4 linked regions of the Schizosaccharomyces pombe genome follow. The protein of the gene in region 1 binds, or shares a complex with, the protein of each later gene. Each region holds a gene or a part of one and is shown in the gene's direction. Other genes may lie near its edges. The genes, in order: mrpl51, mrpl19, mrpl23 and rtc6.

What was found.
Region 2: mrpl51 (region 1) and mrpl19 share a complex: the UniProt entries of both Schizosaccharomyces pombe proteins name them as parts of the mitochondrial large ribosomal subunit.
Region 3: mrpl51 (region 1) and mrpl23 share a complex: the UniProt entries of both Schizosaccharomyces pombe proteins name them as parts of the mitochondrial large ribosomal subunit.
Region 4: mrpl51 (region 1) and rtc6 share a complex: the UniProt entries of both Schizosaccharomyces pombe proteins name them as parts of the mitochondrial large ribosomal subunit.

Annotation. Positions count from the first base shown.
Region 1 is NC_003423.3:1,698,391-1,701,469, forward strand, and holds mrpl51 (mitochondrial 54S ribosomal protein mL43), read left to right. Parts: upstream 1-1,542; 5' UTR 1,543-1,691; coding exon 1,692-1,757; exon of another isoform or gene 1,758-1,848; coding exon 1,849-2,011; exon of another isoform or gene 2,012-2,107; coding exon 2,108-2,316; 3' UTR 2,317-2,482; downstream 2,483-3,079. Other genes in the region: protein Mdm34, read right to left, coding at 1-703; cytosolic thiouridylase subunit Ctu2, read right to left, coding at 2,483-3,079. UniProt on the Schizosaccharomyces pombe protein: Component of the mitochondrial ribosome (mitoribosome), a dedicated translation machinery responsible for the synthesis of mitochondrial genome-encoded proteins, including at least some of the essential transmembrane subunits of the mitochondrial respiratory chain.
Region 2 is NC_003424.3:3,205,457-3,208,430, reverse strand, and holds mrpl19 (mitochondrial 54S ribosomal protein uL11m), read left to right. Parts: upstream 1-1,890; 5' UTR 1,891-1,896; coding exon 1,897-2,331; 3' UTR 2,332-2,469; downstream 2,470-2,974. Other genes in the region: cytochrome c oxidase assembly protein Cox16, read right to left, coding at 451-561, 681-911; npt1 (nicotinate phosphoribosyltransferase), read right to left, coding at 2,838-2,974. UniProt on the Schizosaccharomyces pombe protein: Component of the mitochondrial ribosome (mitoribosome), a dedicated translation machinery responsible for the synthesis of mitochondrial genome-encoded proteins, including at least some of the essential transmembrane subunits of the mitochondrial respiratory chain.
Region 3 is NC_003423.3:4,218,240-4,221,123, forward strand, and holds mrpl23 (mitochondrial 54S ribosomal protein uL13m), read left to right. Parts: upstream 1-1,533; 5' UTR 1,534-1,663; coding exon 1,664-1,684; intron 1,685-1,726; coding exon 1,727-2,179; 3' UTR 2,180-2,377; downstream 2,378-2,884. Other genes in the region: mrz1 (ubiquitin-protein ligase E3), read left to right, coding at 435-1,241; scs2 (VAP family protein), read right to left, coding at 2,706-2,884. UniProt on the Schizosaccharomyces pombe protein: Component of the mitochondrial ribosome (mitoribosome), a dedicated translation machinery responsible for the synthesis of mitochondrial genome-encoded proteins, including at least some of the essential transmembrane subunits of the mitochondrial respiratory chain.
Region 4 is NC_003423.3:1,519,521-1,522,329, reverse strand, and holds rtc6 (mitochondrial 54S ribosomal protein bL36m), read left to right. Parts: upstream 1-1,839; coding exon 1,840-2,118; 3' UTR 2,119-2,300; downstream 2,301-2,809. Other genes in the region: Lid2 complex histone demethylase H3-K36 subunit Jmj3, read right to left, coding at 1-886, 943-1,059; RNA-binding protein Yme2, read right to left, coding at 2,341-2,809. UniProt on the Schizosaccharomyces pombe protein: Component of the mitochondrial ribosome (mitoribosome), a dedicated translation machinery responsible for the synthesis of mitochondrial genome-encoded proteins, including at least some of the essential transmembrane subunits of the mitochondrial respiratory chain.

The DNA of each region.
Region 1 (3,079 bases):
GAGGACCATCTAGCAAATCTGGGTTATAATTAGCCAGAGAAGTATGAGATTGGTTAGGAGAAGTGAAAGGAATTTTTTGAAAAGATAGATTAGAGTCGGACTTGGCAAACCAAATTCTTGACATTTTGTATATGATGGAAGGAAGTTCTTCCTGAAACAGGGAGACCAGTTGCACCTCGATTTCTCTTTGTAAAAAGCGAGCAATAGCAGGAATAGAATCAAAGGAGGAAGATACACGCACGGATTCTAAAGGATCGTTTCGAAATACCACAGTGATACCTTTCTGCTTTGAAAACACCAAAACAACTATTCCGTTAAGCTTTAAGTCGGAAAGTCGTAAAAACATAGGCACAGTAAGCGGTGCACGAGATGCTAACATTGTATTACGAGAACTAAAACTGGGAACATTACTTTTTTGCACCGATAATGGATTGGCACGAATTTTTGTTTGCAAGACCAAAGAAGCATCACCCGAATAATGGAGATTAAAGAGGCCCTGAAAGCGGTCTGGCGCTAAGTCGCCAACCTCTAAAATTTCCAGTTGAGGAGGTTGGGGACCCAAATCCAACTCTTTTACAGTGATGTGGTCTGCAATCATCGAGTGTTTAGTGCCTTTGTTTAAAGCAGCCGTAAGCAAAGTGGTTGCTCGCTCATAGAATGACTCAGAGAACTGATCACTCCATCCCTTTACACGAAACGACATTCTGTTGATTTTCCTAAGTTATCTACATCAACTATGAAAAATGTCAAATTTTTTTGTAAGGAACCGTCTAGTATAGACTAAGTAACTAACGCTTTAGATCAATTTCTTTACAAAATTTTTATTAAATTCGGATAGGGAAACGACAACTTCCATACAGTGGCGGACAGTAAATAAACATCGATAGGCTGGCTGATGCACTAGTGCGGCATACTGAACCTTGATATAGCCAAGATAAGGATAGGGTCGATCGTACTGTATATGAACGAAGGTGTATTAGAATGCATTAAATAAATTATTACAAAATGCACAGTAGTTTCTTATGCTATACTGGTGAAATATATTTTCTTGCTATTCTGTTCATTTAGGAGGGATAAATAAAGCTTCATGAAATGAAATTCCTTAGATATTCAAATCAGAAATTCAGCCATTATTTTAGAAATGATATTAGTGGTGTTGCTTACTGTATTAATTTGCTATGTTGACAAATATCTAGGCTGAAGAACTTCGAGTACAAGAACCGATACAACTTTGCTCTTTCAGAAAAGGATATCTCTGCATAAATGAATGATATTAAATCAAAATTGTTCGTTTTAAAAAACCTATATTATGTTTGTTCGCAGTCCATGTACTACGTTAAAAAATCACTGTAAACTTTCTAGATATCATTATTTAGAGAAGAGCAGAAAGGTAAAGTATTGCAAAGTGTGTAACCAGAAACTGTAGGTAGACAGTAAACTTGATTTTGTTGCTAAAATTTTTTATAAAACTAATTGCATACTAAGTTTAACATTCTAAATCAATTGGAACAAGTATTGAAGTTTAGAGCAATTTGGGATTTGCGAATTTCCACACACCCCTTTACGTCTCCATACCGACTTTTCATTATTTCTGCAAGGATTTGCTCACCCAACTTTTTTCAATATAGCATATTAAGAATTCTGGTTTTTAAAAGACGGTATCCCCTTTTTTACGGCCTTTTACTCACTTAATGATGATTGAAATCATTCCTAAAATTTCAATTCCCAAAAATGGACTAGGTTCATTTACCCGCCCAGTAAGATTTAATCAGCTTTCTTTTTTTTTAAAAAAAAAAAAAAAAAAAAGATTGGCCTTCATTAACTTCGTATTACTAATTTTCTTTTTAGTGCCGTCGAATTGAGTTTTCGTATTGTAATTGGGGTGGAAGCTCAAAAGGCATGAAAGAATTTTTATCCACAAAGCTTGAGTCTTTGGCCAAAGAATCTCAAGATGTGGAATTTCATGTTACAAACCGCCAAGGCAAGCATCCATTAATCCGAGCTTATTACAGTACGTCCAAGACTTTTCTCTTATTATGGTGATCCTCTTAGTTTTATAAATATGAACTCCTTAAAATAGTGTTTTTTACTAATGCTACGATAATAGATACTGGTCGAGAGAAGGTCATTTGTACAAGGAAAATGTCAGCGTCTTCAATATTTCAAAAAGCAATTCTATGCAGAGATAGTGATGGTTTGAAACCTCGCCTCATAAAATATCCTGTTGAGTCAACAAACCCATCCGTTCGTGGTATTTGGAGTCCATTTTCCGATCAAGCAAAGCCCCATGAAATTTATAAGAAAAAGTCCCCTTAGATTCCTCTACAAACTACTTATTATTTCATACAAAAAAAAGAAAATTCAATTTAATCATTTTCGTTATGTTATTATGTCTAACCTTTTTGTCCGAAATACAAAACCCTATCCAAATTTATCTTCCCATAAATACTCTAGTTAACCAGGTAGTAAGTGTACAGATGTATCAAATCCCTTCTTTTTCAATATCAGGAATATGCAACGTCCCTTTTAAGCTTTTTAAAGAAACAGAACAGCCATAGCAAACATTTTGATTCTTAATACCTTCAACGGAATCCGGATGTTCAACCGTAGTTTTTTGTAACCAAGTCTCAGCATCTTCTTGCATTGGTAGATTACAGATGGTACATATGGCTTCTGTAGAAGGCACATGCAATTTTGAGCTCATTTTGACAACGGTGCTAACCAGACTTGGGAATGTATCATTCAGCGATGAGAAATATGATTCTGTAACGCCATGAATAGTATTAGGACGTGCTTCAATTAAGCTATCGCAGAAAGCTAATCCCTTAATGTTCATATACGACTTGAGGTCTGAAGACAAAACTTCACGTAGGGGACGTAGTAGGAAAGTATCGCAATTTGGAAGCTTAGAGCAGACAGAAGTGTACCATGGTATCGCAAAACCTCGACCCTCTGCCACAAGTTCAAGAACTCTTGCAGCAATTGTAGTACCGCTATCACCAAAAACAATGGTATCACAATTTGCCTTCCGGGCATAGGATACTAAAAGCTTATCCCGAATTCGGTAAAGTAAATCTTG
Region 2 (2,974 bases), on another chromosome or scaffold:
AAGAGAGATGGCACTTATTTGATTGCTTTCAAAACAAGTTCTATTTAACAAGTTACTTATATATAACGGAAAGCCAAAAATAAACCGTTTACTAGTAAAGAAACCTTTCTGAATGCTCCTATTATTAAAACGCTTTTAGGCTTGAGTGACATATTCATAGTGAAATTTACGCTCAAATATCTTCATTGAAAGTTTATTCTACTGAATATGCTTAAGTGTAAGTATTTGGTCCTTTAAATTGAAGATAATTATATATGAGCCACATAAATATTATTCTCATGTTAGAAAAAAAAATTCTTGCTTTATTTATTTGAGTATTTCCATATGCTAAAACACTCTGTATCATAAAGTCGTCTTCAGCATTCTCACTTCAAAAACTTGTATCCTTTTCAATACTCCATAATTAATAATAAAATAAAGGAACAAAATAACAATAAAATCGTTCATTATTCATTCTTTATCGCTTGAATTTCCTTCCCATGTAGGCTCCCCTTTTAACCTCTTTACACGTTTATTTTCGTACTCCTCGTTCTGTAGATTCAACTGATCTAATAAGATCCTCTATAACAGGTGGTTAATAAAAAAGGAACTGGTGAATGTAAATTCACGAAAAGCAAATGCACTTTGCAGCTGGTTGCCAAAACTTAAATATTGTAAAACAAGATCAGCACTTTACTTACATAATATTCTTCATTAACGTCGACCTTTCTTCTTCTTTTAATAATGTCTAACTCTGCATCCCGGGACAAGGATTTAACTTGTTCATCTCGTCTGTTAAATTTGACTTGGGAAATGGGGATCAAGCATGACCAGACTAATAATACTGAGCTCAAAAACGGCAATCCAACGTAAATAAACGGACTTTTCTTGGCTTGAAGCCTATACCAACTTTTAAATCGATAGAAAAGCATTTTAATTTATTAACATCCTTACATTCGCTGAAAACGATGGATTGTTAAGAATGTGTAGTAAATAGCAAGTTGGTTAAGATGATTATGGCAAACTTCACTCAGCATGTTAGGATGGAAATTAATAAGATAGTCGTTGGTTTGTAATAATTAATTTTAAGAGTAGAGTTTTAATAGAAATCTGCACTTTGAAATCTTTTTATTTCTACTAATTATTCAAGCTGCATCGCGTGACAGCATTCCTACATAGCCCAAGCACTTCAGGTGAAAACCCTTTATAGTTTTAATTACAATACACATTAGGAAAAAGAAACATATCGATGGCATGTGCTAGTGACAGACTGTGACTTCCAGTAAACATGTGTTTTACTTTGTTTACCATAAAATGGTATGTAAAATGTTTATTGAAAGTAATAAAATAGCTGAGAAAAGACCATTTAATTTCAGCTTGTGATTCAAATGAAATAATCATGCTTTTTAGTTAGGATATTTGCCAATCCCTAAAAACTTAATATATTAATTGATAGTAAGGAGTTAACTTTGAAAAGCTATGTAGCTAAATTTTGGTTTGCTTCTTTTAAACGGCTTCAATTCAGCGCTATTGTTGTTCAACAAATGAAAAATTTTGCGACATTTTAACTAATCCGTATTTGAGATTCAAAAATCAACTAAAATTTTTCAAAAAAATCCTAAAACGAACAACGTTTATGAAAACGTCTTTTCCATTTATCTGAGTTGCCTATTTAATGTCAATACTTTTACTTCTATTCAATCAAGCAGAAGAGAAGGACACATTTGGTCTATTCGGGAATTTTTCTGACTGCTATTAAAAGCTTTAATATTACAAATAAGTAAACACATTACAATTAATTCACCCAAATATTTCAAATTAGTTATTATTCTAATTACAATTATTTTTAAGGAAGAACATGTTACTTTATTGCATGAGAGACATACAACTTACAACTGTATTTTCTTCTTTAACCTTATGGCTTCTACTAGAACGACAATCATAAAATTAATTGTACCGGCAGGAAAAGCTACGCCTACGCCTCCAATTGGACCTGCCCTTGGTGCTCGCGGGTTGAAGAGCATAGACTTTTGTAAAGAATTTAATGCGCGGACGGCAGGTTGGATGCCAAATACCCCAGTGCCTTGTAAAATTACTGTCACACCTCAAAGAACATTTACTTTCACTATACATACTCCTCCAACCAGTTGGTTAATCTCTAAAACCCTCGACCTTGAAAAAGGTTCAAGTTCCCCATTACATGATATAAAGGGACAATTAAGCTTGAAGCATATATATGAAATTGCCAAATTGAAAAGTACTGATCCAAGCTTACAAGGAATAGAGCTTCTTTCTCTTTGTAAAAGTGTCATTGGAACAGCTAAAAGCATGGGCGTCAAAGTCGTACCTTAATCTTATGAGACGCCAGAGCATTTTGTAACTGGTCATACTTGAGGTTATTTTTTTTTCTATCTTGTTATAAACTATTCCCCTCTTTTTTCTTGAATAAAAGCAGTTAATGATATGACTTTTTACTATTACCGACTAAAACGTTGTCCCTGTTTTCTTATTTTCTCCTTTTCTTAGTTGTTTTATATTATTCCTTCGTTAAACAAGCAAAGTAAAAAAACACGTTTGCCATATAAAATTAAAGAATTGCATACCGTTAGTTTACAAACACATCTTAGACTAAATGATTACCTTTAGCATTAAACTATCAATATAGATAACGAAACAGATATGCTAAGCAGAAAAGAAAATGAAGATTTTCAAGTGTGAGTTTTATGTTTACTCTAAGTCACGCCTTATGAAATGCAGCTCAATAAAAGAGAGCCTCAAACTCTGTCTATCTATCAAAAAATAAGAAAAAAAAAACCAAGATTAGTACTGCAGAAACGCTCGAAAATAAAAGAAATGGCTTATGCTATAGGGAGGCATAATTGATGCTTGGCTTGAATAACAGCATCACGATCACCAGTATTTTTCATGATATCGTCACTAATCTTCACTGCTTTAGTTCCTTCAGCGGAAAAAAGCTTAATAACAATATTCATAG
Region 3 (2,884 bases), 2.5 Mb from region 1:
AAACGAATCTTAAGTAATATCTTAGCATATGACATATAGTGATACGCAACGTACTGTATCATAGCTAGTGTAGTTCTGCTAACATTAACATGTACTTCTTTGTTTGTATTATGCATATAGCATTAACCGCGTTAAGCTAAGTTAACGTTACGAAGAGCGTACAGAAGAGATTCAGTTTAGTAACTGCGAATTGTTAATTGTTCTCATAACTTAGCCTACATCTAGTGTAAGACGACGATTGTGAAAATTCACCTTAAAAAATTCAACAAGTCTTGCAAATTATGACTTGAATAATTTTCCATTAAGAAGAATAAGCACACAATGTTTTTTGATGACAAGATAACTTGACATTCTGCCATTCATGCGGTTTCATACACATCAATTAATTTAGTGCATAAATACAATATAACAAGTTATTAAATTTTAGAAGAAGAATGAAAAAGCAATTCCTTGTACGTAAAAACTCGTCAAATTCTCGCTACCTTCGTCGAGATTGCGTTATATGTTTACAAAAAGATGGTCTTCGGGCACAGCTATCTCCATGTGGGCATGACCAGTTCGATTATTCTTGCATATGTCGCTGGATGGATCAATCCTTGACATGTCCCATCTGTAAGAGACACGTAGATTGTGTGTTTTATGGATTTCATGGGTCAAGTTTGTATAAGAAGTGGTATACTCAATCTTTGGGGTCAAATCAGTATTCGATTTCACGACAATTACTACGGCAGCCTTCATTTTCCTCCAGCGAAAACACTGACAGATTGGCCGATTTGCTACGCGTACGACGTTTCATCTATCAAAAGGCATGGAAAAGCTATGAAAATCCCTCGCTTTCATCACATAGGCAATATCAAATACCCACTCCTATCCAACTAGCTTCTAGCGCATCTTTATTAAAGAAAGTGGAAAGCTTTATTGCTAAAGAACTTCTCTTGTTTGAATATTTAGATGGACATCAAATTAACTTTATACAAATCTTTTTGATGGGTCTCTTACGAGTTCAGAATATTCAACATCCACAAACCATTGATGAATTAGCGGAATTTATAGGCCATGAAGAGTCCTCTATACTCCTCCATGAATTGCAAAGATATTTACAATTCCGTCCATTGTCGATAAGCAGCTACTTGTATAGCAAGCGATATTTGTATGGTCCGGAAGGCTTAACAATGGTTCAGCTGTTGAGTCAAATTGAAAACATTCAGCATGAATCTGGTCCTGAGACGGAAAATTCGTAATCAAGCGTTAATTGTATATTATTGCAATTTACTGTGATTCTTTGGGCTTATCAAAAATTAGTTTTATCATTGTATCGTTCATTGCCTTATTTTTTCTAATATATACAAATGGTATTTTTTGAAGCAATAGCTATTAGCTTTATCATGATTAGTAAAGGAGGTTCGTATTATGAATTGAAAAATCAATATTTAAGAAATAATAAATAAAACAACATTTTTGAAAAATAGAAATTTTGTAGGTAACAGTTACCTTACTACAGTTGCTTAGCATCCAATATTTACCCACACCTACAAGCTTGAGGAAACATTATTTGAGCAATTTTCCTACTTCTCTTTTATTAGAAACCACTGATATTGTACTGTCGCTTTAAGAGAAAAATCAGAAGGAACTGAGGATTTTATGATATAGAAATCTCAACGCGATGTCAACGTTGAATGGACAAGTATGAAATTAGTTTGACAGTTTCTTTTACTAACAATATCAGACAGCATTGGCTTACGCCAAAGTTTGGCATCATGTTTCTGCAAAAAATGTTCCTCTAGGTAGGCTGGCTTCCCAAATTGCAACTACTCTTATGGGCAAGCACAAACCCATTTATCACCCTGCAGCAGACTGTGGAGATGTCGTAGTAGTCACTGACTGTTCTGAAATTGGGATTTCTGGTCGAAAACTCGAAAATCATAAATATTATTCACATTCGGGTCAGCCTGGTCATCTTAAAGAGTGGACGATGGAAGAAATGGCTGCGAAACGGGGGCACAAGGATTTGTTGAGAAGAGCAGTTGGTGGAATGCTTCCAAGAAATAAGCTTTGGGATAGGAGAATGAAACGTCTTTATATTTACGATGGAGCTGAACACCCTTATAAGGCAAACATATTTCGTTCCTACCATAATCCTGTAAGTTCGCAAATTGCGAAGGAATTATTCTCGAAATAAGTGTTTAAAATCTCCTTTAATTTTAAAAGGTAGTTCAAAGAACAAAAGCCATATCCCTACTCACTTAAATTTCATTGATTTTTTGCATTAATGTTTGAACATTCCACAATGTCGTATGCCCTAAAAAGCTAACACATTTTAATATTGTTCTTTCCAAAAAAAATTATTTTATATAAATTAATGTTATTGTATTCACTATAAGAAGCTGTAATGTATTTAAAGACACATTTACGTTTGTGAACTGGTAAGAATGAATGTCTGGTAACCATAAGAGGACTACAACTTTTCTTGCGAGTAAAAAGTAGATAACATGAGACGTCGACATAAATAACGACATTTGGAAATTATCTCCAAAGCCAGATAAACGCGCTAAAAAGTACCCTATCGTTGTGAAGAGCAAACAAATTCAACAAACGTCAACCTAAAACCTTGCTTAGCAAAGGCCATATAAAGTAATAAAATCAAGAGCCATTAACTTAGGGAGAAGATTTTACACTTCTTATTAAACATATCTACGCTTTACATTTTAAAAGAAAAGATAGCCAATAAGGAAGAAAATCAGGCAAAGAATGATAACAATATTGGGAGGAATTCCTGGAGATTCGGTTAAAGAAGCACCAGTGGAACTCGAAGGGTCAGCTGAATAAGAGGGCTTGATTTGTTCCAAGGCGTTGTCGGAACTATGAGCACCTGCAGCAGGTTTTG
Region 4 (2,809 bases), 180 kb from region 1:
CCATAAGTCTTCGTAAATTAGAAAATTCATAGTTGGAAGCAGATCTTGGTGAACGAAAGACAAAACGTCGTAAAACAGCGTCTCCTAGACAAAATGCACTATGATGTGTGCCTGGAAAGGTTATAAGCAGTTCATCCTGTTTAAGGACTGTTGAATAAGTAACAATACCATTTTGTACTAGAGTTGAAGGGGGAAACAAAATATTCTGGTGAAGCAAAAAATCTGAACAACGCCAATGCTCATCTTGCGCAAGCTTTCCAGCTAATTTTTTAAAAGACTCACTATGTGCTGAAGGTATCACATACCATTGCAATGAAGAGCCACCTAAATGTACCTGAACTGCATGCAGCTCAGGAGATTCTACCCGCCAAGGAAGGGTAGTTTTCCATTTCCCAGCAAATAAGTGACCAACATTTGGCCAAGTGTTAATCAATGTATTCGATCTTAAATGTACCCTATCTTTTTGAGCAGCAGATATCGAAGGTATAAAATAGAAGGGGATCGATGGGCGATTAGTATATCCATACCACAGACTGTCATGGGTCAAAGAACGCCAATAATATGCAATAGCTTTAGCCACATTGTTTTCAAAGTCATTAGAACTTCCAGCGTTTGAAGGAAACCTGTCGTCGACATTCATATCGGTAGGCTTTTTAGGACCAGCCGAGCCATGGTCTATATCGCTTTGAATCTCGAAGTACTCTCCTTTCCGTCTCACCATTCGCTCTAACCATAAATCCATTTTTACATCGGAAGGTTTCATTGTATCTTCGTTCCAAGGATTTAAAACAGAACTAGGACGAACAACTTTAATTGCGCCGTATTTCTTGCCAAGCCTTTCAACGCGCCGAATAAAACTTTCCATATCTACAAATTCTGAAATTTTCTAAACAAATTTTGTTAACATCCACAAAATATTTAATATTTTTCGCGTAAACTTACTGGTTCCACAACAGGTATGCCATCTGACCCTTCGATATGATAATCGATTTCACACTCCAAAGAACTCACTGATGTGTCACTTTTGCCAGCATGTTTCTCTTTAACATTTTGCTGCATAGCAATCTATTTTTCAGCCTTTGGATTGAATATTTTGGTGTTTTTGAGACATCCACCAATTCGTGGGATTTGCTAAATTTTCCTTTAACAATCTTTTACCAAGGCAAATGACGCATCTGCACTCCAGTTCCATACCCAAATTAGCAAAGTATAACGAACTCGTTATACCAGCAACTAAAAACATAAACAAATTCTCAAAAATTGATCATTTCAAATTAATCGATTAGCATGCCAAACCAAATAACGTAGAATCAAAGTTATTAGATGATGCGGTCAATTAGCTATTTTAGGGACTAAGAAGGTCAGAGACTCAACATTAAAATTTTCATTTGTAAACAAAAAATGGAGCTACACTGTTGAGTTGACTCCACTTTAATAAAAGTATTCCTTATTTTAAAATAATGTGATAAATTTCAGGTCAAATTGCTCCACAGTAAGCTGGCTATTGAATTTATAGAATAACAAGACATGTTGGTTGTCACTAACTGACATGTCGTAGGTTAGCTTACTAGAAGCACTAACTACTATTTATTTTCCCAACAAAGAATATCCAACAAATCGGGCGTAAGCGAGTTTATATAACTTAGTATTCACCTTTTTTTTTTATGAAAATCTTCTCTTGTTGATAGGCATTTTCTATTATCGTTCTTTTTTGGCTCAGTCCAAATTGTGAACACTTTTCCATCGTACATCATTTATTTAGCTCAGAATTACTTCGGATCCAAAAAAATTTAAACATCTTGACTTGAAGTCCCAGTTTCACTTTTTTTTTAACTTATAATGGCTTCATTAGGTCGTAAATTTTTTGCTGTGGGTGTTTTGTCACGAGTCTTCCCTTCTGCTTTTAATGCACAAAAAGGGTTGTTAAAAAATGCATCTATGTTCTTAACCCCTGCTTTCAGACTTTCTCCTAGCCTTCTACCTTGGAACTTTTCAAGAGGTTTCAAAGTGAAAGCATCAGTAAAAAAGCGTTGTTCATCCTGCTATTTTGTGCGTCGCAAAGGTAGGTTGTATGTACTATGCAAAAAACATCCGAGACATAAAACCCGTCAAGGTTAATGACTATAACCGGTTTCGCTTCTTCTTTTTTTTTCTACCTAGGCTAATTCTTCATTACGCTCACTTCATATTACGACGATTTTTGGACTACCTACCAAATCCTTACTCCCTTCTCTCTCGTTAATGCGTAGTCATTAAATGTGATATTATTGTTGACATTATAGCTTCATGCTAAAGAATTCATAAAAACATACGTAATCTTAAATGATATGCTTTCGCATCTTAGTCGATTTTTTTCAAAGCCTCAGTAAGCCTTTCTATACTTTTCTCATTATCAGTAATAACACCTTGATTTTTCTGGATACGCGTCGTTAAGTAATGAGCACGATCCTTCACACCTGATTCAAGGTTCCCAAGGTCCTTTAGCATTTGTAGCTCCTGTTCATCATTCTTGATAGCATTGTTAGCCATGCCAATTAACGCGTTACATCTCACCAACTGCATATTAGCACTTAATACTGGATCATTTACAAGTTGCCGGAAAGCCGTAACATATACAGGTTTTCCAGCGTAGACTTTATCCGGTCTTGCATTCACTGTGGTAATAGTAATCAATTCTGATTCTTCCAAGGCACGAACGGCATCGTCGTGTCCTTTGAACAGTGGGTCAAGCATCAACATATGATAGGGTATATATTCATGTTGAGATAAATAAGTAATTAAGGTCCATGACTCTTCTGGAGTGAACGTT